3 linked regions of the Callithrix jacchus genome follow. The protein of the gene in region 1 interacts with the protein of each later gene in a pairwise test. Links are inferred from orthologs where the notes say so. Each region holds a gene or a part of one and is shown in the gene's direction. Other genes may lie near its edges. The genes, in order: GFAP, ZC2HC1C and TUBGCP4.

The links.
Region 2: the proteins of GFAP (region 1) and ZC2HC1C interact in binary tests that used the Homo sapiens proteins (3 or more experiments, as listed by UniProt). The link is inferred for Callithrix jacchus from reciprocal best matches to the Homo sapiens genes GFAP and ZC2HC1C.
Region 3: the proteins of GFAP (region 1) and TUBGCP4 interact in a two-hybrid assay, tested with the Homo sapiens proteins (2 studies listed by BioGRID and IntAct). The two-hybrid records come from large-scale screens. The link is inferred for Callithrix jacchus from reciprocal best matches to the Homo sapiens genes GFAP and TUBGCP4.

What each region holds. Positions count from the first base shown.
Region 1 is NC_133506.1:85,318,084-85,328,852, reverse strand, and holds the start of GFAP (glial fibrillary acidic protein), read left to right. Parts: upstream 1-1,866; 5' UTR 1,867-2,810; coding exon 2,811-3,364; intron 3,365-4,316; coding exon 4,317-4,377; intron 4,378-4,581; coding exon 4,582-4,677; intron 4,678-4,964; coding exon 4,965-5,126; intron 5,127-6,585; coding exon 6,586-6,711; intron 6,712-6,926; coding exon 6,927-7,147; intron 7,148-7,721; coding exon 7,722-7,765; intron 7,766-8,122; coding exon 8,123-8,242; coding exon of another isoform or gene 8,243-8,247; intron 8,248-10,125; coding exon 10,126-10,211; intron 10,212-10,769.
Region 2 is NC_133509.1:109,987,502-109,997,487, forward strand, and holds the end of ZC2HC1C (zinc finger C2HC domain-containing protein 1C), read left to right. Parts: intron 1-1,958; exon of another isoform or gene 1,959-2,398; coding exon of another isoform or gene 2,399-2,443; intron 2,444-3,833; coding exon 3,834-4,097; 3' UTR 4,098-4,820; downstream 4,821-9,986.
Region 3 is NC_133509.1:31,098,255-31,109,123, forward strand, and holds the start of TUBGCP4 (gamma-tubulin complex component 4), read left to right. Parts: upstream 1-4,013; 5' UTR 4,014-4,263; coding exon 4,264-4,341; intron 4,342-10,869. Other genes in the region: ZSCAN29 (zinc finger and SCAN domain-containing protein 29), read right to left, coding at 1-113, 1,855-2,059, 2,529-2,846. UniProt on the Homo sapiens protein: Component of the gamma-tubulin ring complex (gTuRC) which mediates microtubule nucleation.

The sequences.
Region 1 (10,769 bases):
CCTGGGCCTGTGACGGGGGCCCACAGAGGTGGCTGACGGCGCAGGCCAGGGGACTCCAACTGCTGAAACAAGCTTGTGTCTCACATACACAGTGACAATTCGCTGAGCTTTGATGACAAGCACCTCCTGCTTGCCACATCTTTTCTCTCCAGGACAGCTTTGCCCTCATTTTAACAAGACTTCCCTTGAACCAAAAGGGAAGGCTGCACACTGTGACTTGCTAGGCAGCCTGGGAAGGCGTGCCACTCCCAGCCACAGAGATGAGAGTTGAGATAGGAGCTCATCCCCAGTCTTGCTCTTCCTTTTCTATTTTGTTTGTTTATTCATTTGTTTATCGAGACAGAGCCTCACTCTGTCACCCAGGCCAGAGAAAATGATGTGATCTTGGCTCACTGCAGTCTCTACCTCCTGGGCTCAGGTGATTCTCCCACCTCAACCGCCTGAATAGCTGGGACCACAGGAGTGCACCACCACACCTAGCTAACTTCTTTATATTTTTTGCACAGATGAGTTTTCACCACATTACCTAGGCTGGTGTCAAACTCCTGGGCTCCAGAAATCTGCCCACCTCGGCCTCCCAAAGTGCTTGGATTACAGTCGTGAGCCACTGTGCCCAGCCTTGCTCTTCCTTTAAAGCCTCTTGTCCTTCCTCAGGTCCCCAGTTCATAGCAGGATCATAGGTCATTGGGCGCCCCGCCCCCTCGTCTTCAAGATTCCCCTCCCTGTGTCAGTGCTCAGGCCCAGGGTCAGATGTGACTAGAGCCTAAGGGGCTGTCACCGTCCTCTCTTGCTGGGACTCACAGAGGGAGATCTCAGCAAGCCGTCTGTCCATCACATGGGCAAACGAAGAGCATACCGTGGGCTGGATGCAGCGGCACAATCCCAGTAATTTGGGAGGCTGATGTGGGAAGATTGCTTGAGCCTAGAAGTTCTAGACCAGCCTGAGCAACATGGCAAGACCCTATCTCTACAAAAAAGTTTAAAAATTAGCCAGGTATGGTGATGCATGCCTGTAGTCCCAGCTACTCGGGAGGCTGAGGCGGGAGGATCACTTGAACCTGGGAGGGTGAAGCTACAGTGAGTCGTGGTTTCCCCACTGCACTCCAGCCTTGGTGACAGTGAGATCCTGTCTCAAAAGGACAACAAAAAAGAACATATTCTGATGCAGAGTAGGGGACATTGCTCTGACAGAGGCTCAGGGGCCTGAGCTGGCTCTGTGAACTGGGGAAGAGGCGGACAGCCAGGCCTTGTCTGCAAGCAGGAGACCTGGCAGCGCTGGGTTGGCCGCCCCCCAGGGCCTCCTCTTCGTGCCCACTGAATGACTCACCTTGGCACAGACACAATGGTCAGGGGTGGGCACACTGCCTGCTTCCCGCCGCACCCCAGCCCCCCTCAGATGCTTTCCGAGAAGCCCATTGAGAGGGGGCTTGCCTTGCACACCAGCCTGACAGCCTGGCATCTTGGGATAAAGGCAGCACAGCCCCCTAGGGGCTGCCCTTGCTGTGTGGCGCCACCGGCGGTGGAGAACAAGGCTCTATTCAGCAAGTGCCCGGGAAAGGGGATCAGAGGAGGTCCAGGCATGGACAGTGGGTGGCAGGGGGGAGAGGAGGGTTGTCTGCTTCCCAGAAGTCCAAGGACACAAATGGGTGAGGGGCCTCGGCAGGGTTCTGACCCTGTAAGACCAGAGTGGAAAGCATAGATGGACCTGAAGTCTCCAGGGACAACAGGGCCCAAGTCTCAGGCTCCCAGTTGGACCCAGTGGCTCCTGAGTTCCCAAACCCATCCATCCCCAGAGGTCCTTCTCATCTCCACAGCCTGATGTGTGGTAACTTGAGGAGATAAATCTCCAGTGGGAGATGGAGGAGTGGCCAGGGAAACAGGAGCAAAGAAGCAAAGATTCGAGCCGGCACAGCCAGCTGATGCATAACTGCTTTGCGGAGCTGTCAAGGCCCAGGCTCTGGGAGGGGGGCGCAGGGAGGCAGGCAAGGAAGGGGTGACCCGGAGGGACAGACCCAGGGGCTGAAGTGCAGCCATGGACTGGGCCAGAGAGCACCAGCCCCTTCTTGCCCTATCAGGACCTCCACTGCCATACAGAGACCATGACTGACCTGAGACAAAGGGCTGGTGTCCAATCCCAGCCCCCAGCCCCAGAACTCCAGGGAATGAATGGGCAGAGAGCAGGAATGTGGGACATCTGTGTTCGACGGGAGGAGTCCAGGGGTCTGCTGGGAATGGGGCCTAGTCGGAAACTATGATATAGACGCCCCTTGAGGAGATGGAACAGGTTTGTTCGTCACCAAATTCCCAGCACCTTGCAGGCACTTACAGCTGAGTGACAGAAGGCCTGGGTTATCAAAAAGCTGGAAGGCAGGTCAGAGGTCATCTGGTACAGCCCTTCCTTTTTTTTTTGAGACAGGGTCTCTGTTGCCCAGGCTGAAGTGGTGCAAAGACAGCTCACTGTAGCCTCAACCTACTGGGCTCAAGTAATCCTCCCACCTCAGCCTCCCAAAGTGCTGGGATTGCAAGTATGACCCACCCCACCCTGCCCTTCCCTTCCTTTTTAATTGATGCATAATAATCGTAATATTCATTGTGGTCCAACCAACCCTTCTTGACCCACCTTCCTAGAGAGAGGGTCCTCTTGCCTCAGTGGTCAGGGCCCCGGACCCATGGTCTGGCTCCAGGCACCACCTGCCTCATGCAGGAGTTGGCGTGTCCAGGAAGCTCTGCCTCTGGGCACAATGACCTCAATGGGGTGAGAGGAGCTCTCCCCATAGCTGGGCTGCAGCCCAACCCCACCCCCTCAGGCTATGCCGGGGGCGTTGCCAGGGGCAGCAAGCATTGCCAGCCCAGCCCACTCCTTCATAAAGCCCTCATGTCTCAGGAGCAAGCAGAGCCAGGGCAGGATGGAGAGGAGACGCATCACCTCCGCTGCTCGCCGCTCCTACGTCTCCCAGGGGGAGATGATGGTGGGGGGTCTGGCTTCCCGTCGTCTGGGTCCTGGCAGCCGCCTCTCCCTGGCTCGAATGCCTCCTCCACTCACGACTCGAGTGGACTTCTCCCTGGCTGGGGCACTCAATGCTGGCTTCAAGGAGACCCGGGCCAGTGAGCGGGCAGAGATGATGGAGCTCAATGACCGCTTTGCCAGCTACATCGAGAAGGTTCGCTTCCTGGAACAGCAAAACAAGGCGCTGGCTGCTGAGCTGAACCAGCTGCGGGCCAAGGAGCCCACCAAGCTGGCCGACGTCTACCAGGCTGAGCTTCGAGAGCTGCGGCTGCGGCTCGATCAACTCACTGCCAACAGCGCCCGGCTGGAGGTCGAGAGGGACAATCTGGCACAGGACCTGGGCACTGTGAGGCAGAAGTGAGAAGGAGATGGGGAAGGGGGGGGCCTTGTGAGCAGAGGGGGCTGAACCCCCAAGAGGGAGTCCCCGAGAAGTCTCAGGCAGGGGCTGAGCCTCCCTGCTCCCTGGGTCTCCCTACCTCTTGATGGGGCCTTATCCTTGCCCCTACAGCATGATGAGAGGGACCAGAAAGAGGCCAGGGCCCCGGGGATCTGATTCCCAAACACCTTCTGCCAGGGAACCAGGGTCCCCTCAGCACCTCCTCACTGAGGAAAGCAGTGCAGGAGCAGCCGGGCCCCCAGCAGCCGGGCCCTTGCGTTTTCACTCATGGCTGGGCCTTGTGACTGTGGGCAGCGAGCTCACCTATTCTGAGCCTGGGTCTGTATAAAGGAGTTGGAAGTGGAGAAGGTTGGCATCCAGGAGGGAGATTGGATTCTGGGGTAAAGGAAGTGGGGGAAAGCGCAGGCAGGCCTGGGTGTAGAGCACAGGTGACAGCCTGACACCAACTTGTGACCCCCGTCAAGTCACTCTGACTTGCACAACTATGAAGCAAAGCTCATAATAAAATTCATTTCAGAAGGTGGTTACCTGGGATCAGAGGAATCCCCAGGGGCATGGCGCTTCACTGAGCTGGCAAGGCGCCTGTGTGCCTTCAAGTGCAGGAGGGTGTGTGTGTGTGTGTGTGTGTGTGTGTGTAGCAGTGAGTATATGTCAGTGGATGCGCCTCTGTGAGCAGGAACAGGTGCACCAACCCTGATAAGGCACCTTGGTAATGAGTTAAGGCAAAAGCGCGCATCTGCTCATCCTCCAGATGAGGCCTCTGTCTAAAGCCCCCCAACCCTTACTCCTCCTGCTGCTCTGCTGGTCCTGGGTGCGGGTGGTCTCTATGACAGTTGCCTCCAGGGAGATTGGGGCAGAGACCCAAGTGTCCTCATAAGAGCCTGGACCCAGGAATGTGTCCCCCAACTCCAGGCTCCAGGATGAAACCAACCTGAGGCTGGAAGCGGAGAACAACCTGGCTGCCTATAGACAGGTCAGGGAGGTGGAGGGAGGGGCTAGGGAGGGAGGAAAGGGGTTGATGGCAACCCACCCAAACACAGCCCCCAAGCTCAGCCCTCCAGAGCAATGTGCTGCTCCCCACTGCCCCAGAAGGAGGGGTAAGGCAAGGCTGAGGCATGGGGAGGAAGAGCCTGAGGCCCAAGTGGCCCTCTGCTCCTCACCACTCCTGCCACTCCAGGAAGCAGATGAAGCCACCTTGGCCCGTCTGGATCTGGAGAGAAAGATCGAGTCACTGGAGGAGGAGATCCGGTTCTTGAGGAAGATCCATGAGGAGGTGAGGCCAGGGAAGAGGGAGGAAAGCTCAACACAGAGATTGCAACTGAGAGAAGGAGAGGCAGAGACAGAGAGGCTGAGAGTGAGAGAGACACTCAGAGAGAGGAGAGAAACAGAGACTGGCAGATAGAGACAGAACATGAGAGAGAGAAAGGCAATAAGGGAAACAGACAAGAGAGCGTTCTAACCCCTGGCTGAGGGGCAGGCAGAAGAGGACATGATGCTGTGGGGAGCCCCAGCTGTGGCCTGTACCCTGAGCCCTGGTTCCCCTTCTCTCACCCCGGCCAGGAGGTTCGGGAACTCCAGGAGCAGCTGGCCCGACAGCAGGTCCACGTGGAGTTGGACGTGGCCAAGCCAGACCTTACTGCAGCCCTGAAAGAGATCCGCACGCAGTACGAGGCAATGGCGTCCAGCAACATGCATGAAGCCGAGGAGTGGTACCGCTCCAAGGTAGCCTGTGTGGGCCAGCCTGCCTCCTCCAGGCAGCTCTCCTTGATCCATATGAGACAGTGGGAGAAGCAGGGTGGAGGAAGCTGGGAGAATAGTCTCTCTGGGTGACTGACCTTCACCAGAGAAGTGAGATGGCTTGCCCAGGGTCACACAGGCACTATGGCTTCCAAAAGTACCCATTACTATTACCGCTACTATTGCTGTTACTTTATTAGTAGCTGATATTGTTCCTTGCCAAGTCCTGTGCTTTTCATGGATTACCTCACTATGAAGTAGGTGCTGTTCTTTGACAGATGAGAAAACTGAAGTGCAGAGAGGTTAACTAATTTGCTCAAAGCCACACAGCTCCTAAGTAGTACAGTTGGATTTCCAACTCTAGCCCATCTCACTTGGGAGCCTGCATTCCATGCCTCTGCCAGTCTGTTTTGGGTGATTGAACCTCTATTGCATGCCAGGCACCTCCCAGGACACAGAGAGGTGTCTGACCTGGAAGGTGTGATGTTGACGTGCACCGAACCACAGCTCGGAGCTTCTATGCAGTGTGGCATTTGGGCTAGGCAGGACAGGCAGGCTGTGGCCAGGAAGAGAAGAAAAGGACCATTCCTGGTGGTGGACAGAGCCTGGAGGCAGAAAAGCACAGAAGGCAGGGACCCAAGATGCTGGCCCAACCAGGGCACCTAGCTGAGGAGAGTGAGAAGCAGAGGCCACAGGCGTGTGAGCAGGGCGAAGGTCCAATGGAGCTGGGAGGATCTCCCTGCAGGTGGGGGAGAAAGGGCTATTAGAGCCCAGGGTGAGGCCGGGCACAGTGGCTCATGCCTGTAATCCCAACACTTTGGGAGCCCATGGCAGGCAGATCACCTGAGGTCAGGAGTTCACGACCAGTCTGGCCAACATGGTGAAACCCCATCTCTACTAAAAATACAAATTTAGTCTGGCATGGTGACGGGCACGTGTAATCCCAGCTACTTGGGAGACCAGCCTGAACAACATGGTGAAACCCCGTCTCTACTAAAAATACAAAAAATTAGCTGGGCATGGTGGCGCGTGCCTGTAATCCCAGCTACTCAGGAGACTACGCCATTGCACTCCAGCCTGGGTAACAAGAGTGAAATTCTGTCTCAAAAAAAAAAAAAGAAACCCAGGGCTCCGCTTGCTGGAACCCACTGTCCACTGTAGCAGATGACAGATATTCAGTCCCGCAGATGCAGCTGTCAGTGTGGAAGGTTCTGGATTCTGTGGCACTGTTCATGCGTTTGCTGACCAGGTGTTGTGCTAGGTGCCCCCGTCCATGGGTCACAGTTGCTGGGAAAAGTTCCAGCCAGGGCCAACGTCCTGGGGTTGACTGGAGTCTTGGTCACCTCCCTGATTTCCCAGAGCCTGTGCCTGCCCATGGGCCCACACAGCTCCGCTATATGTGTCCGCCAGCCGCCCTCAGCCTGTGGCTCCTATCCCCATCTAGTTTGCAGACCTGACAGACGCTGCTGCCCGCAACGCGGAGCTGCTCCGCCAGGCCAAGCACGAGGCTAACGACTACCGGCGTCAGTTGCAGTCCTTGACCTGCGACCTGGAGTCTCTGCGCGGCACAGTGAGCGCGGCCAGGACAGGACGGGGGTGGGGGGAGAGGGGATGGCCACCCCAGGAGATGCTAGGGTAGAAGGGCCAGGGGCGCGGACCTGGGGCGAGGGCGGGGCTCGAACGTCACCCCCGGGCTAGAGGCGGAGCCTGGGGCTGGGGACCGGGCCTCGAAGCCTCACCGAGTCAAGTCGGGGCCCCGCGGGACCGGACGGCTCCATCCAACAGAACGAGTCCCTGGAGAGGCAGATGCGCGAGCAGGAGGAGCGCCACGCGCGGGAGGCGGCCAGTTACCAGGAGGCGCTGGAGCGGCTGGAGGAAGAGGGGCAGAGCCTCAAGGACGAGATGGCCCGCCACTTGCAGGAGTACCAGGACCTGCTCAACGTCAAGCTGGCCCTGGACATCGAGATCGCCACCTACAGGAAACTGCTGGAGGGCGAGGAGAACCGGTGAGCCCTGATAACAGCCCTGGGGAAGTCTCCCTGCCGCCTCTCGGTAGAGCCCACCTTACCCGCTTCAGGGCCTGAGGCTTTTTCAGACTTTTGTCCAGCCCCCTTCCCACCTCAAAGCCCAGCACAGCGCCTGCCTCACACACAGCAGCCAGTCACTAGATGTCTGATGAATGAATGGATGGATGGATTTAACCAGTATTGATTAGGCCTCAAGGCCAAGGACAAGAGTCACCCTCCAAACTAAGAGGCTCACTCCCCACCCTCCCAGCAAAGACTGGACTCCTCACCTCACCCATCTTTTCTGTCTCCTTGGAACTTTCTTCACCACTTTCCCCTCCCTCTTCCATCTTCCTTCAGATGAACATGAAACCCTCACAGATAACACTCAAGCCCCTTGCAGACTTTTGGAGCTCCAGTTAGCATGTTGGCTACCGGGCAAAGCTAGGAGATAGAGTCAGACCTCCCTGGCAAGAAAAAGGGTGTTGAAGTTGTCATGATGGCCCTGGACCAGGACCCAGCCTAGGGTTGTCCCAGCCAGCCTGGGCATCCCTTTCCCTCTGCTTTCTTTCAGCATCACCATTCCTGTGCAGACCTTCTCCAACCTGCAGATCCGAGGTCAGTAGAGCAGGGCCTCATGGTAAGGGCACTGGAGTCCTGCCCCCTCCTCCAGGGCCTGTAGGCTACTTCAGCCTGGGACGGAGGACCAGGGCAAAGGGATCCAGGTTCTCCCTGGGGCCCTTCATGACTCACTGAGACGCTCTTGCCAGAGCCTACCATCCCAGGGCACTTCCAGGCGGGGCTGGCAGCCGCCCCTGTCCTGCTGGGCCCTGGGTCCCTCTTCTCCTCCCTGCACCCCATTCCACAGCCAAACTGGGTGAGATTTCAACGTCTGCCCTGTCTGCAGATCCCTGAGCAAGCACTGCCCTTCTGAGTGTTTTTTGTTTTTGTTTTTTTAACTGCTTGTCACTACAGGGGGCAAAAGCACCAAAGACGGGGAAAATCACAAGGTCACAAGACATCTCAAAAGCCTCACAATACGAGTTATACCAATACAGGCTCACCAGATTGTAAATGGAGCGCCGCCAGCTCGCGGTTAGCTGCCTGCCTCTCAGACACAGCGCTTTGCCCAGCTTGACAGGGAGTGAACCTCACCATCCCATTCTCCCAGTCTTCCTGGGCTCCCTCCTTGCAGGCTTCCCCTAAAGGGCCGGGACTGCATCATTTTCCCAGGAACCGCAGTGCCCAGCCCAGGATAACCGTAGATTAAAGCGGCAGAGCTGGTTAGTGGTAAAGGTGGTGGGTCCTTGGGTGCGCAGCTGAGCTACACCGGGGCCTCTGAGTAAGGAGCAGCCTCTGTCTCACCTCTTCCCGTCACTGGGAGGGCCTCGTTGAGCCTAGAGGCCAGGCTCTCTGCTTTGTTCTTTCACCCCTGAGGCTACATCGCTCAGCTCAGTGCTGACACAGTCCAGAGGATTCTGCCCTCAGGACCACTGCTCTTGCAGTGAATAAAGTTCCATGTTCCCTGCTCTTGATGTTAAATATTAGTGAATGTGACATGTTAAATTTTTCTCTAGGGGGTGAAGCGAAATTACTTTTTACTTGTATGTGGCCCTCAAATGATTCCTAGCTAAGGAACGAAATTCCTCTTCTGGGCTAGAATATTTAGGACCATTAGATATGCATGTCCCAGGGCTTAATTCAGCATCAGAAAGCTTAACCAGGCTGACTAGTAGAGGTAATACCGCCAAGTCCTAGATAGTCACAGGTCACTAGGGTACAGATAAGTGGCAGAGAGAAGTAGGAAAGGGGAAAGGGGATGGGAAAGGGACCTACATGTATTAAGCACTAATATGTGCCACATGTTTAACAGCCTTTATTTTAATTAATTGTCTCCTCTCTCCCACCTAGAGAAATAGGCCCCATCATCCTCATTTTACAGATGAGGAAACTGAGGCTGGGAGAGGTCAATTAACTTGCCCAGAGTTGCATAGCTAAGTTGGGACTTCTTTAGCTCTGGTCTCTTTCTTTCCTCATTTCTCTCTTTCTCTCTTTCCTTCTTTCTTTCTTTCGATGGAGTCTCGCTCCTGTTGCCCAGGCTGAAGTGCAGTGGCATGATCTCAGCTCACTGCAACCTCCGCCTCCCGGTTTCAGGCGATTCTCCTGCCTTAGCCTCCCAAGTAACTGGGATTACAGGCACTGCCGCCATACCTGGCTAATTTTTTGTATTTTTAGTAGAGATGGGATTTCACCAAGTTGGCCAGGCTGGTCTCAAACTCCTGACCTCAGGTAATCTACCTGCCTTGGCCTCCCAAAGTGCTGGGATTATAGGTGTGAGTCACTACAGCCAGCTGTCTTTTTTTTTTTTTTTTTTTTTTGAGGCAGAGCATCCTTTTGTCACCTAGGATGGAATGCAGTGGTGCAATCTTGGCTCACTGCAACCTCCACCTCCCAGGTTAAAGTGATTCTCCTGTCTCAGCCTCCTGAGTAGCTGGGACTTTGGGTGCCTGTCACCATGTCTGGCTAATTTTTGTATTTTTAGTAGAGACAACGTTTCACCATATTGGTCAGGCTGGTATTGAACTCCTGACCTCAGGTGATCCACCTGCCTCGGCCTCCCAAAGTGCAGGGATTACAGGTGTGAGGAAGCCACCATGCCCCACCTGGTCTCCTGATTTCAAAGCCTGCATGTCCTTCCTTGATGCCTTGCTGGGTTGTCAGAAAGCCAGGTGCCAGGCCAGGGCTTGCAAAGGGGCTGAAATGAAGCCAGACCTGAAGACAGAGCAGCCAGGACTTGGGCTGCAGCACCGTTGGGATATGGGGGCTCTCCAGCCCATCTGGAAGAGCCTAGGCTCTCTCTGCCCGGTTGCATAGGTTCTCATATTATGATCTGGGGGCGTGATGGGGAAGCCGGGGGTGGGAGAGGATGACTCATGCCCCGAGAGTCCATGGGAGGCCTCTTCTCCTCACACCTGCAGAAACCAGCCTGGACACCAAGTCTGTGTCAGAAGGCCACCTCAAGAGGAACATCGTGGTGAAGACTGTGGAGATGCGGGATGGAGAGGTAAGGAGGGATCTGGGCCATCAGGCGCTGCCTGGCCCCCAGGATTCTCAAGGCCAGGCTGTGGATGAGAGCCTGGGGTTGGCACAATAACTCCCAGGAGCTCTCCAGTGAATTCTGGAGGACAGCAAGTAACCTGGATGTAATTCCATTTCCCCAGCCCCTCCATAGGCTGTTCTAAGAGAAGCCTTGGTACCAAAGCTACTAGATGGGGTTCTAACTCAAACGCTATCTCTTTCTCACCCTCACACTCAGGGGCCTGGCTTGCCAGGGACAGAAAGAGAGTTAAAGTTAGCAGCTTTCACTCCCAACTCTAGCAGAGACAGTCGGAGATGGGGAGGGCTTTCAATTTCCAGCTTAGAAAAAGGAAACTACCGGGGGATGGGAAGAGGGGATTTAGTGTATCCCCCACACCACTCCAGCTACAGCGGAAGCTCATCTTACTCGAGCAGCTTGCCCCGCACCAGGCACGAGGCTAAACACTTTCCCAGAGTTATCTCTCCACCCTCTCTGAGCACTGTGCGAGGCAGTTGTGGTTATTGTCAAGAAAAGAAAGACCTG
Region 2 (9,986 bases), on another chromosome or scaffold:
TCAAGGTTGTGCCACTTGGTTTATAGAATGGGTATTTCTCAGTGTGGCATGCGGACAAACTTTATTTTAATAGTCTTAGTGTTTAGTGTTTATTAGAAAAATTTATTAGTCATTTAGTGTTATATTAGGAAAATAGGACAATATATTAAGCCCCTGATTTCCAGGGATCACGAACTTACAGAAAAATCTTAATTAATTGTAAGGATTAAGTGAAAGAACAAATGATTGAAGTTTGGGAAGTGTAGACCATATGATCTCGATCGCCCATCTAGTTATTCCAGAAAAATAAGAAAGTGTCATTCTGCTTTCATTTCTTTCCAACCCTCGCTCTGCTGTGCTGGCACCTCTTGTCCATCAGCACTTTACAGTTTCTGTGTATTTGCTGGAGGCTTTAAAAACTCACATTTATATGATGGTTGTTAGAAAAAATTGTTTACAGTTAGAGTTCTTTCTTTCAGTACAGTTTGGGGAAATCACAAGCAAGTCCCATCTGTATTCAGAGACAACCTCCCTGAAATCTAGTTTTCAAAAAAGAAATCAACATTTTGCTCTTGCAGATAATAATATGATGGCCACTTACTGTTTTTTCCTGTTTTCTTTCTGTTCAACCCAATAATCCACTGGGGATTCACTCTGTCCCACTATAGCGATTTATTTTTGGCCAGAGCCTAAAACATCTTGTGTTTCTTAAATTTGTAAATACAGTTGCAGTGAAGTAAAATAATTAGGTTCCTGAGATCAGACGCTCCAGCTTTATGGCAGCTAGTTTGGCAGAATGTATGACACTGAGGACACCAAGACAGAAGGGAACTAGACTAAGCTGTACCCACACCACCCTGGTAATGTCTCAAGTCTTATTCCACAGTACTGTGCCTTTGGAAACTGAGTGGTTGTATCTTCCTGTCATTCCTCTAGAGTAATTAAGAACAGGTGATTTTCCTGGTATCCTTTAATTTTCACGTAACTTCCAGTGGATGTATACCTCATCTCTCTCCTGAACTAATAAGCATTTTCAAGGACAGGGAACATATCTTTGTGCTTTATGCTTAATAAGTGTTAACTGAATAGAATTTCAGTACAGTGAGGAATAAAATTATAGGAATTCGAGTATAAGAAGTAAATTACTAAAGTGTTTCATACACTTGAGGAACTTTCCCCTAATCAAATTCTTTTAAAGGTTCTGGGACACCATGTCTAACACTCTCTTGCCTTCTTGTCTGTTTCGGTAAGACTTTCCCCAAGGACACTTTCTTTTCCTTTGATAAAATCTCTCTTCCTACTATTCATCATTAACAATGCCAGATCACCAGGAGCTATTTGTCTGCTCTTTTTCTTTTTTAAAAATTTAATAGTATTTGTATGCATTTAAAAAGTCATGTTGTACTGAGTGACCTACAGTGGAGCCCCTAGTCCAGCCCCCAGAGGCAGCCTTCAGTTCTGTTAGATGGTTCTTCTGGTCTGCCCTTCCATATTTCTAAATAATATGCTTATTTTCTTGATTTATCAATTTTCCACATTACCTGTTTTTTGTTTTTTTTTTGAGACAGAGTCTCTATCATGCAGGCTGGAGTGCAGTGGTGCCATCTTGGCTTACTGCAACCTCCACCTCCCAGGTTCAAGCAATTTTTGTGCCTCAGCCTCCTGAGTAGCTGGGATTATACATGTGTGCCACCACGCCTGGCTAATTTTTGTATTTTTAGTAGAGACAGGGTTTCACCATGTTGGCCAAGCTGGTCTTGAACTCCTGACCTCAAGTGATCTGCCCACCTTGACCTCCCAGAGTGCTGGGATTACAGGCATGAGCCATGGTGCTTGGCCTACCTGGTAACTTCTTATGGAAGCTGTGAGTGAAATTCTCTTTCATATCCCCCTCTCCTACTTTTCTCCTTCTCTTACCCTTCCACTGTAGTCGAATCACAATTTTTGGTTAAAAGAAGTCAGCTTTCACATTGTAATGATCATGTAAATTTTGTTCTTTAATGAGTGAATAAATGTTGTCTCTGCCCACATGTACCTAGAGTTAATAATGGACGTTATGTTTTCATTTTCTTCATTTTCTACATACCTCTCCTTATTTTTACCCGCAATGATCCATCTGATATCAGACATCTGTTAATGTTTTTGTAATGCTCAAACACCTCTCATAATCTATCAGTTTGATTTTTTAATTCTGAAAACCTCCCTTCCACCACTCTGATCCCTTCTGCTTCAACCTGGACTGGTTATTTTCTAGGCCTGGTGCAAGCCCATTGTCTTGGGACTTCTCTTTGCTTCTCTTCTGTGTTGGCTCCCCTGTTTGCAGCATTCCGTGTCTTCCTTTTTCTTGCATTACTCCTTGCGTTGCTGAAGCTAAGAAAGGTGCACAGCAGGTATATTGTCTTGGAATGAATGGTAGTATCTATCTAATAGACTCCCATTTGATGATTTGGCTGGGTACAGAATTCTAGGAGGAAAATGATTTTCTGTTAGAACTTTTAAGATATTTCCCACTAGCTTTTAGCATCCAGTGTATTATTGAGAAATCGAATGTCATTTTGATTTCTGTTCCATTACAAGAAACCCGTGTTTTCTTTTTTCTTTTTCTGAAAGGCTTTGGGATTCTCTATTTATTTTGAAATTCTGAAACTTTACAATAATTGTGCTGGATACTTGGTAAGCCATTTCAATCTCAAGATGTGTGACCGTTAATTCTAGGAATGTTAATTGTATTATGTCTTTAATAATTTTCTCCTCATGCTTTCTCTGTTCCTTTTGGAACTCTTACTGGTCACATGTTGGACTTCCAGGATTAACTTTCTAATTTTCCAATCTTATCTTTTCACTTTCCATCCTCATCTTTTTTCCCATTCTGAGAAATTTTTGACAACATTTCTATTTGATTTTTATTTTTAGCTATCAAAGTTTAAATTTATAGTTTAATAGTTCTTTCTGGTTCTCTGGTTGTCCTTTTTTCACAGTATACGCTTCTTGTTTTACGGACACAACCTCTTCTAATACTCATTTTGTTGATACGATTTCATGTTAAAAAAAAGTTTTCTTCCTCTATCTGCCTTGTTGCTGCTTCCTGCGTTTTTTGTTTGTTGACTTTTTGGGCCCTTTTTCTTGTTAGAGCTTTAGCAAATATTTGATGATTCCTGGCTGTCCTTTCATATTTAATCTTAAGTGGGGCTTGTTGACTAAGGACCTTCATATTAAGGTTACTAAATAGCCTTTTAATTAGGGTTCTCCAAGGTATCTGAGGGCTTTTCTCTAGACTGCTCCATGTATCCAAAGAACCCCTCTTTTTCCTAAGAGGATGCCAATATGCTTGATACTCTGGGGGCTGAGCAGGAGAAGGGGGCTGACATTTCCATAATTTGGTATGTACACTTCTACTTAATCCCCATTTTCAGTCCCCAGATTAACCCCCAAGTTTCACTTGTCTGGATTTCCTGAGTCGGAAATTTGTCTGGTTCAATTTCTCCAGAGAATAAATCCTTGTTCTTCTCTAAGTGTGCTTGGGTGTTGGACACTTGGATGTGCAAGGTGGGAGGAGCTGTGGGGTCCTGCCTGTTTTCAGTCCTGTACCTCCTTACTTTGCACCATCTGGTACTTCCAAGCACTGAACTTCTCTGGAGTTCTGCTGGGAAAGCAGCTTGCCTCTCAGCAGTACGCTCTTTGCAGGCCCTTCGTTTGCCTCAACTCTGGCAAGTCAGTTACCACTATTGCTCCTTTCCTGTTCTCTTTGATCTTGCAGATTAGTACCCTTTTCATTTTCTTACTGTTATTCTAATGGAGACTCAGTAAGGAGACAAGTGCCAAGTTGAAAGATCAGTATCCCTTTTACATTACAGGCTGAACCTCCTCGGAAGAGCAACTGGAGACAGAAGCACGAATATTTTATCCGTACCCTCCGCCAGGCTCGAGAGGTCCAGCAGGTAATTGCCAAAGGTGGAAACCCTTCAGACTTGCCTCCCATCCTGCCTTCAGAAAACCCAGACTACATTCAGTGTCCTCACTATAGCCGCCACTTTGCTCCCAAGGTGGCTGAGCAACACATTCCCAAGTGTAAGACCATCAAGAACCGCCCTCCACCTCCAAGGAAGCATTACAGTTGAGCAGATGACAGTGGAAACTTTTGGATAGTTCAGAAAGCTCTGCTTTTCTTTAGGAGTAAATGGGAGTAGAATTTGATACAAAGCAGAAAGAAACGAAACAGCTCCCAGATCTGCCTGCAAAGCTAAAATCTGAGGAGAGAGCCACTGCTAAGCAGCAGGAGGCAGAAGGAAGCCCCAGCTTCCCACTAAATTACAACCTCAGCTGGTATGCTTTATGTTATCGCACTCAGAATTGATGGGTGAAGACACTGAAGAGTTGGGAACAGGCTCCATTAAAGTTCTCTTCTTGCATGCCTGACTTGTGGTTTGTGCTAGTGAAGTGCCTGCATCTGGTTGTGCCTTCTTGTCACTGCATGTATGTCCATAGTTCCTGTTAACTCTTGCTTTTATAGAAGTTGGAGATATTAGGATGTGTTGGTGTCAGAGGGGCATGATGACCGAGATGGTAACTCATTTATAAAAGACAATACAATTTTCCTGTAAGACATTATTAATGAAAATCTATCCTTGGTCTCTCTGGTGCATGATCCTGGCCAAAAACCAATACAAGTATGTGAGGTTAAGGCACCAGTGTCTCCTAACCTTCCCTGTGGTGTACTGTGTAATAAAGGAAAGATCTTTATGTACTTCACAGGGTGGGGATGGGTGTTGCGGGGGGCAGATATTATACTTCTCTCTACTTGTTCTTTTCTAATGCGTTTCATATGTTAAAAAAGAAAGAAACCTCCATTTTAGTTGTTACTAGCACTCTACTTTCAAATTGGTTGGGCTAAATGACTGTTTAGAGGCAGCAAAATCTACCATAAAAGTGAGCTGAGACAGGCTGGGCATGGTGGCTCATTCCTATAATCCTAGCACTTTTGGAGGCTGAAGTGGGAGGACTGCTTGAGGCCAGGAGTTTAAGAGCAGCCTTGACAACAAAGCAAGACCCCATCTCAAAACAAAACAAAGCTGGGACATTGCACAGTGTCACATGCCCTTGCAAATTGTAGCACAGTCAACTTCTATTTCAGAGCATAAACTTTGAAGGGAAAGGGATCAAATCTTTTTAATTTTCTCTGTGTAGCTATTGCCTAGCACAAGTTAGACCCTCAATTAATGAGATCTGGAGATTTAAAATTAAACAAAAAGAAGACTAGTGAAATGAGAGAACTGATAAGTTAATGTCTGTGAGAGTATTATCGATTCAGATAGGAGTGAAGTTAGCACAACAGATAGAAATCCTAGAATTACTGTTCTGCATTACTCACATTGTTACTTTAAAATACTGGAGAAAAACTGGTCAATTTGAGCTAGGCAACAGGGCTAGACAGACAACAAAATCCTATTTTACTAAATAACAAATGGCCACTCACTCTTGTTCCATTTCCTCTGCAGCTTCTGCTGAGTGGCTGGGCTAACAGACCAATTTGAAATGTGAATTAAGGCTTGAATGGTGAAGTTACAGGACATAGGCTGGGAAAAAAATCCTATATATTTAAATATATAGGATTTTATATATAAATACTTACTTCTTTGCACTTTTTTGTTTTTGAGAGACAGAGGCTCGCTCTGTCACTTAGGCTGGAGTGCAATGGCGTGATCTCGGCTCACTGCAACCTCCATCTCCCAGGTTCAAGTGATTCACCTACCTCAGCCCTCCTGAGTAGCTGGGATTACAGGTGTGTGCTGCCATGCCTGGCTAATTCTTTGCATTCTTGTTAATTGTTTCAAAGGAAAGGAGATATCACATCATAACGCTTTTGGTTAGCCCCCTTAAGGAAAGCTCACACAGAGATACTGGATAAACCTAATATGTACATTCTCTAGGCAAGTTCAATGAAATGTGTGCTTTAAGTGGAAATGTAAACTATTATATTGCAATAGATGGCAAGAATAAGCTGTGGCCAAGGTCACAAAATGGCAACATATGGAATGCTTTGCTCCACAGATGTTTTATTTAGCTGGCCTACCATTCAAAATATAATTTGACATTTAAAAACTGGGATATGGGATATAGCTGACATTTAAAAACTGGGATATAGCTCACACCTGTAATTCCAGCACTTTGGGAGGCTGAGGCGGGTGGATCACAAGCTGAGGAGTTCAAGACCGGCTTGCAAGATGGTGAAATCCCGTCTCTACTAAAAATACAAAAATTAGCCAGATGTGGTGGTGTGCACCTATAATCCTAGCTACTCGGGAGGCTGAGACATTGCTTGAAACTGGGAGGTGGAGGTTGCAGTGAGCCAAGGTCACGCCACTGCAGTCCAGGCTGGGCAATAGAGCATGACTCTGTCTCAAAACAAATAACAACAACAACAAAAACTTGGTATATGGAACATCTCTTGAAAAACTGGGAGTTCTTTAAACACTGGGCCAGCAACCTGCACAGCACAGATTGGGTGGGGTTTAGAATCAGATGCTCCTTCAAATGGGAATGGTAGCAGCAGACCACCACAGTCTCACCGGGCCTACTTCACTTCTCTACCTTATTTGCCTGGTCCCATAGGCACTTGGATTTGGGATCCCTGGATAATGTTAGTAAGGTCACAGATCAGGGCCCTCCAGATAGAACAAGTGTTGTTATATGTGGAGAGTGCTTTCTATAGACAATGAAGCAGTTATTCACTCTCATTTTGCTAAAGAAATAAAACAGGCCAGGTGCAGTGGCTCAAGCCTGTAATCCCAGCACTTTGGGAGGCCGAGGCGGGTGGATCACGAACGAGGTCAGGAGATCAAGACCATCCTAGTCAACATGGTGAAACCCCGTCTCTACTAAAAATACAAAAAATTAGCTGGGCACGGTGGCATGTGCCTGTAATCCCAGCTACTCAGGAGGCTGAGGCAGGAGAATTGCCTGAACCAAGGAGGCGGAGGGTGCGGTGAGCCGAGATTGCGCCATTGCACTCTAGCCTGGGTAACAAGAGCAAAACTCCGTCTCAAAAAAAAAAGAAAAAGGAAATAAAACAGTAGTCAATGCCTTAGGGTTCCCTTTAATCTCTATATGTTTAGGCCTTGGTTATATTAGAAATAGCTTTCATCTTTTAAATTTAGCTTGATCTGGTCTCTGGGAAGACGTAAGAACCTTTTTTTTTTTAAAAAAAAGTCTAAATCTTGGGCCAGCTGAGGTAGCTCATGCCTGTAATCCCAGTACTTTGGGAGGCTGAGGCGGGTGGATCACCTGAGGTCAGGAGTTTGAGACCAGCCTGACCAACATGGAGAAACCCCGTCTCTACTAAAAATACAAAAAAAAAAAAAAAAAAAAAAAGGCTGAGATAGGAGAATCGCTTGAACCTGGGAGGTGGAGGTTGCGGTGAGCTGATATCGCACCATTTCACTCCAGCCTGGGCAACAAGAGCGAAACTCCATCTCAAAAAAAAAAAAAATCTGAATCTCTTCCTGGATAGCTCAGTGGATGGCAGTAAATAAATGCATGCTTGTTAATATCTTATACTACTTTATCCAAGAACCTTTAGTGCAAGTAAACATTTTAAGTTCTAAAGTTCAAAAGGTTGATCCATGGGAAAAATTCCATAGGGAAACTCACATAGGAACTCATTTTATTAAAAATGTGTGTGGACGTGCTGAGACAGTATTTCTGGACAGCAGTGTATGTAATGCAGCACAGCACCTTCTAACCAATGTTTGCTTTCATTATCAATGTATCACTCTCCACAGCTTCACAGGAGGTAAGAGAAATGTGACATAGTGGAGTTTTTCGCCCTAATGTTCATGATTCTGTGAGGTTTAGTGATCAGCTTATTTCCACACTTAATCACTGAAACAATGATTTTTGGCTTTGCAGCAGGAAGGAATGTTGTATAGTCCTGATTACAGCCCACTCTGCCCTAACCATCACGAATACTTTTTTGGGGTTCAGGGATTTCATCTGAGTGAATTTACTTAAAATGCATTCTTGCTTCTGAATTGTTCTATTATGAATGTTTGTGAACATATGGCAAATGAAATGAAAACTGTCTACTTTTGCTTTAAACTTCAGTGAAATGCTCAGCCAAGAGAAGTTGTAACTTAGCTATGCTATGCCAGGGAGACCAAATTCAATTCAATCTCTCTGAGGGAGAAGTTTCACAAACCATAAACTGGCATTATCACTTGGAAAGGCCCCCCACTGAGACTGAGGAGGCAGGTACAAGACGGGATCATCCTTCTTTTAAATGGCTCATTTTTTCCCTCCCTTTGCACTTTTGGCACTTTTAGATCTCATTGGGAAAAAAGCTGTAGCAGCAGAAATGATTCTGCTGGCAAGAATAAGAAACTGGAGAGAAGCAAAGATTATTTCTGTGCAAATGTCCCTTGCATTGTTTCTGTTCCAAGAACATTATTTATATAAAGACTCACAGAATCAAAGATTCACAAAGGCCTAGAATCTGGATGTTTTATCCCCAGAGACTAAGGTCCATGCACAGACTTACCGAGGCACAGCACTGATTGAGAGTTTAAATGTTTATTTAAAACAGAAATGCCAAACCACTCTACCCTCAACCTTTCAAGCAACCTGGCTAACAATAAGCTAGTTCTTCCGCAACAATGTTAGAGCAGAGGAGTAACAGGTTATCGTGTAACTCAAAAGCAATACTACTAGAAAACTTAAAAACACCTAGCACTGCATAAAGGAAAAAAGCAGGACAAAATTTAAAGAGAATTAGCTACAGAAAACCATTCAAAGGCATTTCTACTGCCTCATTTTTTAGTCTATCCCCCTTTGAACTGGTTTCTGTTTGCATACTTGTTTAGTGGAAAAAAAAGTCATAAGGCTGTCCCAGGCACAATATGGGAAAGTGCAAATTGTCTCTAAGGCACAGAACTTAGATTCTCAGCTGGATTAATAGCAAATCTAGACTTCCCAAGAGAATATGCTAGAGAAAATGACCACAGCATTCCACTGCTAGGGAAAGACTCCCCTCTGAACAAGAGCAAGGCCCTCACCCACCCCCGGCGCTCACTTTCACCCCACCTTCTCGGCAACATGCCCATGTCCATCAGATCCACAGCAGAAGCAATCCTCATGATGAACACTCAAACTGACCTGGCCTCTCAGGCCTGCTGAGATGATGAGCATGAGGATACAGGGACATGATAGGCCAATCGGTCCTTAAGAAAATCAAAGTTGCATTTACATGCTGAACCAAAACCCACAGTTAGGGTTTATGGCAATCCCAAGTCCCCAGAACTTGCAACTTTAATCAAAGTTTGGCCACTTCTCTTATTTCAAGAAAAGGTTTCAGTGATTATATTAGTATTAATGTACTAGGCTTCCCAGAACTGAGAAAACAATGGGAACATCAAACCAAAGAAGATCCCATTGAACAGAGTTGCCTGTCCCCAGCCATGGGGTTCTCCCCAAGCATCAGTCTTTATGCCACCAGTTTTGGGGAAATGGCAAAATTTCCATTGCACAGGACCTCCCACAATGTTGAAAAGATTATCAAACATTTTGGTCTGGGGAAAATGAAACAAAATTAATTAAGCTCTTTGTAGGAAGGTGGGATGTTAGACTCATCAAAGGTAGGATGTTTGACACAAAATACTACAGGAACATTTTACAAGGCTAGGTGGAAACACAAAGCTCACATCCTTAAGGAAACCACCAATACTTGTCTAGAACTTTCTATAAGAAGTTTTGTCCTTCTAGGACACTTTCTCTTTGGCAAAGCTAGCTTGTTCCTGTCTACAAAGACACAATGAGTACAAGATTAGAAGTGAGCTCTCAGCCAAACTCCTTTTGCAAGTTCTGCCTGTTGTTAGGCTTCAGGGACTCCAGGGTTTGGTGCTGGCTTTGGCCACTCAGGTAAGATGATAGAGATTCACTGGTTATCACATGGCTTCATAAAACACCACAAGGGGAAAAATACTGACTAGACATACAGAAACAAAGCGGTTGGGGCT
Region 3 (10,869 bases), on another chromosome or scaffold:
TCCCGTGTAGCTACCACTTGGAAGTTCTTTGTCCTTGGAGCCCGGCAGATCTGGAATCCATGGCTCTCCTTGCTCCAACCTGGAGACCACACCAGATTTAGGAAATGGAAATCCTGCTTGCGGGGAAGCAAACAAAGGGTATCTTAGGACTGATTATAAAAAAATATTTGAAATTCAGTCCTGCCTTTTTCATCCAAGAGGATTATAAATAAAGTGTCTAGGGAAATGTTTTCAGAAAGTTCAATGGGTTGAAAAAGGTGGGGAAAATACAGGAAACCTCAAAAGATAAGAAATGTTCTATTTTCCAAAGCAGGGTGACCAGAGAGGAAAGGAGTCTGTGTGTTCAGAGCAGATAATTCTATTCCAAGTTGTTCCCTAGCTTTCCTATTTGTACGCAGGTCATTATTCTTCACTTGGGGCTTCAGAATTAAAGTCAGAGTGATTTCAAGGGGGAAGTGAGAAAAGACTGTCTTTATGTTTCCTTCACAGTCAGTCACCAAGTTCTAAAGGTGTTTATGTTTAGAACTACTGCCACCATCCAAGTCCAAACTCCTTATCCTCTCATACCAGATAACTGCAGCAGTCACTGTTCTTCCTATCTCCAGGCTCTTGCTTCCTCAGTGCACATTTTACCCTGCTGAGCCTTAACCTTAGTACCTACCATACCCATTCCTGTCAGACTCTTGCTCCAGAACACAGCACACTTTTATTACCCCCTCTGTGGCTTTTAATTCTCTCTTATCCAATTTCAGCCTGTCCTTCAAGAGGCTACATTTGCCAATGCCCTCAAGAAGCCTTACCTACAGCCTTCCCTTATCTCCCACTCTGCCAAACCCATACAGTACTCACACAACTGAGCGAGTCATTGGCATTGTTTCAGTACAGTTCAGTTCAGCACATACTTAGAGTTAGCTATTGTGGTTCTCAATGATGTTTTTAAGTTCTTTGAGGATATGCACATTTTTTTTTATTGCAGAGTATCCTGCAAGATGTTGAGCACCTTGATAGGTGTTCCAAAACTAATGAACTCTGCAAGTCTGTGAGATTCAGGGATTTAATCTGCATCACTAAGCAGAGAGACCATTACCAAATTGGCTGAGAAAGCTATCATCTTAGACGATAATACCACAATTCAAAACTACCTCAACAAATTTTAAGCGAAATGGTAACAGAAAAAAGTATACAATATGGAGATCAATAGAATACAAAGAAGAAAAACAAGTTCTACAAAATCAAGTACAAGAATAATCAAGTAGGTATAAAGGCACTGGGGAAAGCTATCGGAATCCTGGAAGTTACCAGGTGAACAAAAAAATCATATAATCACAGGTTGGGCTATATTGATACAAGGCGTTGCAAGATTCTGAAGTAAAATTCTTACTTAGCTTCTAACAGACTTTCACAAGAATAATATACATAAATTAGTTCTCCACTATTAACATGATATTTGGAGAACTTAAAGATTCCAATAGAGAGCAACAAAAACTTAGGTTTAAAAAATGGATCTTCTAGTGGAAAGCTTAAGGAAACAAATAGAGTTTAATTTGAAGAAGGAAAACAACCAACAGGAAGATCTGCCTTCAAGTATAGAAAAGAATTTTTATCTAGAAAATAACAACCTATCATCATTACCAAGAGGAAGTAATTCCAAGTTCTGATAAAAACTAGGGAGCTATTCTCTAGTGGACTTATCAAGAGGTAATAAAAGAATACCAGAAGGCTAAACTACATGTCAATAACCACATATTCTACAATTTCCACTTATTCCTGAAATCCCTTTCCCACTCACTATTCCCAACGCTACTTCCCAACTTGGAATGGCACTCTATCTTCCCATATGAATCTACTCCTCACCGCTCCTTTGAAAAGGTCTGAGCTTCTCCTTTGGGTTCCTCTGCTCCTGTGGTCCCAGGTCTGGGCTTCTTGCCCTCTCTTTCTTGGGTACGCCCCTGGGTTGGGGTTCCACTGACTCCTGCCGAACATTTAATAACTCTTGTGATGATTTCAGGGGTGTCATCTTCTCCAAGCGCACTTCCTGCCCCTTCACAGAGACTGTGACCTAGAAACAACCCCCGTTAATTGTCACTGCAAAGTTATAATGAGGGGCATTCCCAAAGGAGATTATTTAATACCCCAAAAGAGATCATCCTTCAGGGCCATGGCCAGGATTTTAGGGGTGGGGGGTTAAAGTGAACAAGGGTCTTATTCCATTGCCATTAGCTTAAAGCAGCTGAAACTCCAGAAGGAAATGATCAAAACAGTAAACCCAACTACAGGCTGAAAAAAAAAATCCTCTTTCTTATTAAGAAACTATAAGACTAGCAAAAACTCATTATGACAGGGTAGGTGAAGGTACACCTAGGTAGCATCTCCAGACAAGCACTATCTGAAAAAGTTACTTATACCAGACCAGAAGTATAAGCATCACCAAGGGAGATTGTGTCCTTCTTTAAGCCTGTCTATTAATTTAGCCCTCCACCCTTGCCCCTTCCCAATATCACACTTTTGAATTCCCCCTCCCTTCTCACCGAAGGTCCAGGTCTTCCAGGCTCTCTTTCTAAATCTTCCACCAGAGTCACTGCCTCCTCTCCATTTTCTGGACACCGTTCCTGTACCCAATTCTGGATCTCCCCAGGTAAGACGGTCAGGAACTGCTCTAGCACCAACAGTTCTACAATCTGTTCCTTGGTGCGCACCTCGGGCCTTAACCACCGACAGCAAAGTTCCCAGAGTTGGCTGAAAGCCTCCCGCGGCCCAGCCACCTCCTGGTAATGGAATCTCCTGAAGCGCTGTCGGAATGTCTCAGAGTTAGGGCCATTCTCTCTCAGGGAGGATTTGGCCATCATTCACAGCAGAAAGCAGCTTCCCTCCACTTAAGAGTCTGGGTTCCAAAGCTTACATCTATCTTCCCATGTCCTTGGAGAATCACCTGCAGATGACACTCTGTCTGTAAGAAGAGTTTCTTCCTAGGGCAGAGAAAGATGGTACTATCAGAAGGAATATATTCATAAGTCTAAAGTCTTGTCAGAACTGGTCTGCCTTCCCATATGCTCCAAGTGGCCTTCTTAGGTAGCACAACCTTCAGTAAAAAGACTGCAGAAGCTGCTTTTGTGGATGACGTCCAGAGCAGCCCCAGGAAGCAGCAGAGAATAAAAATACTGCCCGCTCCTCTCCCACCTCCTCCAAATCCGATCCCATTTAACTCCCCTGACCAATGTTGCATAGTGAGTCCGAACCATACAGATGAACTGGAGTTCGAGAGGATCACTATCCTGCTTGAAGGTAACAAAAAGCCTCTGTCCAGCTGGTCGCAGCTGATCTTCCCAAGTACCGCCGCAGTCCTTCCTAAGGCCTTCTGCGTCCGCCCAGCCCCCGCGGGCTGCACAACTCCCAACGCCCACCCCAGGCAAAAATCAGGTCCAGAATTTCGAGTCTTTGTTTTCCCCTCGTAGAAGCAGTAGCCTCTCAGCAAGGATTCGGGCGCAACTTGTTGGAAAACCTCAAGCAAGGAGAGAAACCAATTTTGGCTCCAAAGCGAGGACTGAGTGGGTTTGGGGAGAGTCAGACTGCGTTGGAGAGACGGAGTCCGAGGGCCAGTAGTAACCGGCTTCCTAAGGATGAGCTCAGGTGCCGGCCAGGGGCTTCAGGTGCTGCCGGTTCGAGGACGCAGAGCTCTCAGCTTAAGGAGGGACGGCTGCGGGATTCCGGCCTCTTTGTCTCCGCTCCCTCCGGCCGGGTCACCCGCAGCCGTCGTGCAGTCCCTCCAGAGGCCTCTGACCCGGCTAAGGCGCCCTAAGGGCGCCCTCCAGCCCACCCCACCCCTGAGAGGGTCTCCCTCTCGAGCTGCCCTCAACCTCCTCGCATCCTTGCCTCCTGGCCAGCCTCACCCACTCAGGGTCCCGCCCCGGCCCCAGCTCCAGTCTCTAGCTACTAAGTACAGCTCCCAAACCGGAAGTCCAAGCAGGCGGCTCGGGGCACCGAGGACGCATGCGCGAGGGCAGCGACCGCGACTCAGTCTCTGCAGAGCTCTGGCGGGAGTAGCGGGTGGGCCCCGTGGAGCCACCGAACTTCCGGGACTCGGCCGTGACCCCTTCCTGGCTTCACGTCCGCTCTGCCGCATTGTCTCAGCGGGTTGATTTGGGACAAAACACCCGACCCAGGAGCCGATGCGAGTGTGTGAAGGGGAGCACTCCCCTCGTGGTCGCCAGGAGGGGCGCTGGAGGAGGGGGCGACGTATCCAGGGACTCGAGGTCGGCTGCGGGAATGATCCACGAACTACTCTTGGCTCTGAGCGGGTACCCTGGGTCCATTTTCACCTGGAACAAGCGGAGTGGCCTGCAGGTAGTGTCCGGCGCAGAGCGCGGAAACCAGGGAGCGCTGGAGCGGCGGACCTGAGCCAGCGTTTAGGGGATGAGGCTGAGGGACCGAGAGGGCGGGGCTTACAGGGCTGGGGGCGTGTCCCTGGACAGGTGACTGGAGGGCAGTCCCTTAAGGTGAACGCTGATGTGACGCCTAGAGAGAGGCCTGGCTTACGCTGGAAAATGGAGGGCCGATCTCGAAGAGGCCCTCCTGTGGCAGGGCGAGGAAAGGGCCTGAGGTCGAGGTGTCTGAGTGACAGTTGCTGGGAAATGATATAGAAGTGTGGGAGGCACTTTCTCCTATTTTATTTTCACGCATGCATTGTTTGAATTTTGAAGGACTGCTCCAAATACACAGCTCCCAAACACATAGAAAGCGTTAAGTAAAGTTTGTAGAATGAAGAAATGAAATGGAGAGCGTGTGATGTTTCCCTCATTACTCCTTTACCAGGAAATTTCTGCACTAGGTAAAGAACTTGGAAGGGGGCCTTCGTGTAACCAGGAATGTATGATGATCCGTATATACATTATCTTATTTAATCCTCACAACCGCCTATATCCATTTTACGGATTAATCTAGGTTTAGAATGTTAAATAACTACCGGGATCACATAGCTAGTAATTAACAGAGCTTAGTTTTGAACCCAAACCTGTCTGGCTTCAGTGTTTGAACTATTCTTACCTGCTTCTGCTTCCAGTAATGTTATCTAATGCTCTCAATAATTTAGTAACTTAGGTATTGTTTCTACCGGTTAACAAATGATCAAACTGAAGCTCAGAGAACTTTATGCTGGCTAGTCCTGGTAATAGCAAGATTGAAATCTAGGTCCAACTGATCACGAAGGCATGCCTGTTCCTAGGAGAATTTGCAATATAGACTGGAAGAGCAGAAAAGGTACATTCTTAGTCTATAAAACCTGTAAATCAAACAGATTCCTTTGTTATTGTTTATGAATGTGTATTTGAAGTTAGGGAGTTTAGGTGAATTTTTTTATTATTTTTATTTTTAGAGTGAGTCACTGTATCGCCCAGGTGGGAGTGCAATGGCACCCTCTTGGCTCACTGCAACCTCCATCTCCCGGGTTCAAGCAGTTCTCCTGCCTCAGCCTCCCGAGTAGCTGGGATTTCAGGCACCTGCCATCTTTCCCGGCTAATTTTGTATTTTTGGTAGAGACAAGGTTTCTCCATGTTGGCCAAGCTGGTCTTGAACTCCTAACCTCAAGTGATCTGCCCACTTCAGCCTCCCAAAGTGCTGGGATTACAGGCTTGAGCCACCACACCCTGCCTATGTGAATTTTTGAAAAAAAATAAGTGAGGTGAAGATTTGCCTGGTAGAGTTTGAATTGTTACTTTTGACCTGTAGGTCCTTGAAGACTAAGTCGATGTTTCACTTTTCTCCATAGAACTTAGTACAATACCAGGCATGTAGGAGGCGAGTAGTATTCAGGAAGTATGTGTGTGCCTGATTGTCCAAAATGAAAAGAGATAACACAGTAAGGGAAAGACTAGCTAGGGAGGGGGTGGGGGAGACAGCCACAAGTAATTCATCTTTTCCCTTCCTTTCTTTCTTATGAAAAATTCTCAAACATGTATTTTCTAGCTTTTCATCCTTAAGGTCTCAGCTTTAAAGTCACTTTGTCAGAAAAACTTTCTCTGGCTACATCTTTAAATTAAGCATCCTCCCCTAATGCCATTATTCTCTATCAACTTGTTTATTTTCCTTATAGGATTTGTCACAATTTATAATGTATTTTTGTTACCTGTTTATAAATCTTTCTCCCTCATAGGTTGCCCATGGGAGCAAAGACCACAGTGGTCTTCTTCACTGATGTACCCGGAGGACCTAGCACATTTTCTGCCACATAGCAAGTGTTTAGGTATTAATGGAAAACAAGAAGACAAAGACAGCAAATATAACATACTTTTTGCAGAGTGGTGTCTTTTACATTTGAATAAAGGGAACAGTTGTCATGAGTGCCACGTGTTGATGAAAATTATTATAATATTGAATATATACTTAAGCTAGGTATAAACTCAAGCATAATGCTGTTAAACAACTATAAAATCAAATATTCTTATAAATTAAAATTAAACAAAACTACCAAATCAATATATTCAAATGACCATTACTCTAATTCAGGATTTCTCAGCCTGTTCATATAAGTATGTTGTATAGAATGGTATCAGTAACTTCAAGGTATTGTTTGCTGTTTCAGAATAATTAGACATTGAACTTTTCGAAAGCTCTGCCAAAAAGAAATGCTTAAATGCCAATTTTAATAATGGTATCATTGGATAACTGGTAGAGCTGCCTTGTTAATAATACAACATTGCTTATGCATATTGAGCACTGGCTCTGTGCTTGGGACATGTGCTTATTAACTTATTTAATCCTCACAATTATTTTCTTCAGTTTATAGGTTTGAAAACTGAAGCACAGAGAGGTATAGTAACTTACCTGAGCTTTCAAGCAAGTAAGAGGCAACACAGGGATTCAAACCCAGGTAGTCAGTCTCCAGACACCAGGTTCTTAAGACCAGGTGTTGTGCTACCTCTTAAGTTACTAACTTGAAAATGTGATTAGCATTGTGTCATTAAAATATACATTAATTGATTCCTAATCAATTTTCTGTGGACTCCGCAACAGAAAAATTCTTCTTTGCCTATTTGCTACCACATTTACTGTCATATAAAGATGACATCCACATATAATCTATATTATATATCCACCCATTTATAATATGCCAAGTTCATTTGGAGCATTAACTGTATCCGATTTTATTTATCTCAAAGTATTAGCAGAGTATCTGAGATATAGTAAAGGAAATGTGAAATGGTATAGCCGTTGTGGAAAATGGTATGGCAGTTCTTCAAAAAATTAAAGGCCAGGCACACGGCTCACACCTGTGATCTCAGCCCTTTGGGAGGGTGAAGCTGAAGGATCAGTTAATGCCAGGAATTTGAGGCTAGCCTGCACAACAGAGCAAGACTCCATCTCTACAAAAAAATTTTTTTTGCCGGGCGCGGTGGCTCAAGCCTATAATCCCAGCACTTTGGGAGGCATGGTGGGTGGATCACAAGGTCAAGAGATCGAGACCATCCTGGTCATGGTGAAACCCCGTCTCTACTAAAAATACAAAAAAAAAATTAGCTGGGCATAGTGGCGCGTGCCTGTAATCCCAGCTACTCATGAGGCTGAGGCAGGAGAAGTGCCTGAACCCAGGAGGCAGAGGTTGTGGTGAGCCGAGATCGTGCCATTGCACTCCAGCCTGGGTAACAAGAGCGAAACTCCGTCTCAAAAAAAAAAAAAAAAAAAAAATTTTTTTTTAATTAGCTGGCTATGGTGACACGTGCCGTAGTCCTAGCTACTCTGGAGGCTGAGGTGGGAGAATTGGTTGAACCTAAGGGTTCATGTTACAGTGAGCTATGAACCCACCACTGTACTCCAGTCTGGGTGACAGAGTGAAACCTTGTCTCTTAAAAAAAAAATTAAATATAAAATTACCATATAATCTAGCACTTCCACTTCTGAGTATATCCCAAAAGAAGTGAAAATAGGGACCCAACAGGTATTTGTACACCCATGTTCACCAAGCATTATTCACAGTAGCTAAAAGGTGGAAGCAAGTGTCCATGGAGGGACCAATAGGTAATTGAGATTCAGTATATATATACAAGGAAGTATTATTCAGCCCTAAAAAGGAAGGAAATTCTGGCACATGCTACAACATGGATGAACTGAAATAAGCTTGTCACAAAAGGACAAGCAATAATTCCACTGTTTGTGGTTTTTTTTTTTTTTTAGACAGTCAGGTTCTGTTGCCCAGGCTGGAGTGCAGTGGCACAATCTCGGCTCACTGCAACCTCCACCTCCCAGGTTCAAGGAATTCTCGTGCCTCATCCTAGCTGGGATTACAGGCACCTGCCACCATGCCCAGCTTTTTGTATTTTTAGTAGAGACGGGGTTTCATCATGTTGGCCATGCTGGTGTGTACCTGACCGCACATGATCCACCCACCTTGGCCTCCCAAAGTGCTAGGATTACAGGAGTGAGCCACCATGCCCGGCCTAAATGATTCCACTCACGTGAGGTAGCTAGAGTAGTTAAAATTGTAAGGTTAGCCAAGAGAAAAGACAGTAGGCCCAACATCATGCAAACAAGTTTTATTAATCTGCCGGGCTGCTCCCTAACAATTAGAAGAGACAGCCCCGGGCCTATAACACAAGGGGTTTATATGGGGTAAGAGGAGCATAAGGGAGTTTCAGGACTGAGCTAATCTGTCAGCTTTTAACAGGCACAAAGATGATTTGTCAGCTTGTGACAGACTTAACAGTACATCATCTTGTGACTTTTGTGGTGGCAGTTTAAAAAACAGGATTTTACAGGTATGTGTAAAATAGGAATTTAAACAGTTTTGTTTTCCATGACCTCCCCCGCGGCGCTGCCCAGGTGGCTGTAATCAGGCTTTGCTCAATTGTAGTGTATCTGGCAGCCTTGCTGTGGTGCCTAGATAGGAATGCAGCTGCAGAGCAATCAGAGTGGGGGTCAGCTGCCCCTAACAGTCCAGCCTTTTAATAGTTAATAGAAGAGGGGGCACCATTGTCATCTGGCTGCTTCTTGCTGGATAGGAGCCACGCTCACGTTTGGGCCGAGGGAGGCTAGCTAGTAGGAACTGTCGTTCCTGGAGTTGTTGGTATTCTTGGAGCAGCATCATATCTTGTATTGTTCCATGGGTGAAAGTTTTAATACAGTCCTGTAAAAACTGGGTGAGGAGTTGTAAGAGGCAGGGCCCAAATGCTAGAAGGAAGAAAAAGGTTATGGCAGGACCTAGGAGGGCCAGTAGCCAGGGTGCCCAGGAATTATGGAACCACTGGGGCCAGGTAGAATGACTGTCTTTAAGTTTTTGTGCTCAGTCTTTGAGCTTTTTGATAGCATCCCGTACTAGCCCAGATTCATTGAGGTAGAAACAGCACTGTTTATTTAAGAGGCACAGACCTCCTTCTTCAGCAGTGAGGAGGTCTAGGCCTCTGTGATTTTGTAGGATGACTGCTGCTACAGAGTCTTGTTGGTTTTGGAGGTGAGTGATAAGAGTTTGCTGTTTTTTCTAGTGATGATTGGAAGTCTCCAGAGAGTGACTGGAAATATGATAATGAGGTTCCTAGGCTTCCAGCTTCTAACTTGACAGTAGTTGTGACTCCAGGGTCTACTAATAAGGGCATGAATTATATTGCTCTTTTTGAACAGGCATGTAATGTAGCAAGAACAGGGAGTTTTTGATTTGGAGAGACAAGGTTAATGTTGGGGGTAAGGTATACGAGGGTGCAAGTATCTGTCCAGTTGGTAGGAAGACCAAAAGTAGGTTGCGGATCCACAGAGAAAGAAGATGCCTGCGGTGTTAATGAAAACAAACAAGTGGATTGAGAATAGGTGGTGCCTCCTTTGAAGGGACTCAGCAACCCAGAGTGAGGAGGAGAGAGAGACCCCTTTGAGAACTCCTGTCTGGGGAAGGGGTTTCCATGTTTGAGAGGCAAGATGGGAGGAAATGCGGAGGGTCTGGGTAAAGAGGCCATTAGCTTCAGGGGAAACTGAATAATCTACTTGGAATGAGGTATGGGAAGAGGGATGAGAGATGGTTTGAGTTGAGCCACAGGCAGAGGGAGGGATGGTGCCTACATGTATGTGTCCTTTGGAAGAGGTGACACATAAGGGGGCTTGGCCAAGTTTTGTGGTGTGGAGGGTTATGGGACCTTGGGTGGCTGGGTGAGGGAGTTTTGTGCTGTTGTAATAGGTAGTGTATGTGGAGAGAAGTTTGGTAGCTCTGTTAGCAAGGGCAGTGGGATAGTTCCCAGCGAGGATGAGGGCTCTATCTACAAAGGCAGAGCCTTTTGGATGGTGTATGAAAAGCGAATGGGAATATGGTCTCAGGGCTGAGAAATTAGGGTAGCTGAGTAGAGAGTAGAGAAAAAGAAACAACAGGTCCAGCAACGGGAAGCAAGTGTAGAGTTGCAGCGCAGTAACAAGGAGGGAGTGAGACTGAGAGATACTTTGAGCCTTGTAGAAGTGAGAAGGGACTCTGAGGGAGCAGAGGCAGTGGGGCTATTAAAAGAGGAACTTGAAGAAGAATTGGAGTTTGTATCTGGGGGAAGGAGTTGTGAGAAGTTGTATGGGGAGGTGACTTTTTGTTGTAGCAGTGAAGCTCTTTCAGTGGGGGAATATTGGGGTCGGATTGTGGAGATAATGAGGAAAAGGGCAGGGGCAGAAGAAAAGGGGGATTTTTTTGCTACCTCGTCTGCCTCTGTTTCCTCTTGAGATTTTATCTGACCCTGTTTGATGTCCTCAAAAGTGTATAACTCCTGCTTTAGCTGGGAGGTGTGTACAGCTTGGAGGAGTTGGTAAGTAAGGGACCCGTTAGTGATGGGGGTTCCTTTGGCAATAAGAAATTTTCTCTTTTGCCAGTTGGCAGCATGAGAATAGAGAATGTGATAGGCATATTTGGAGCCAGTAAAAATG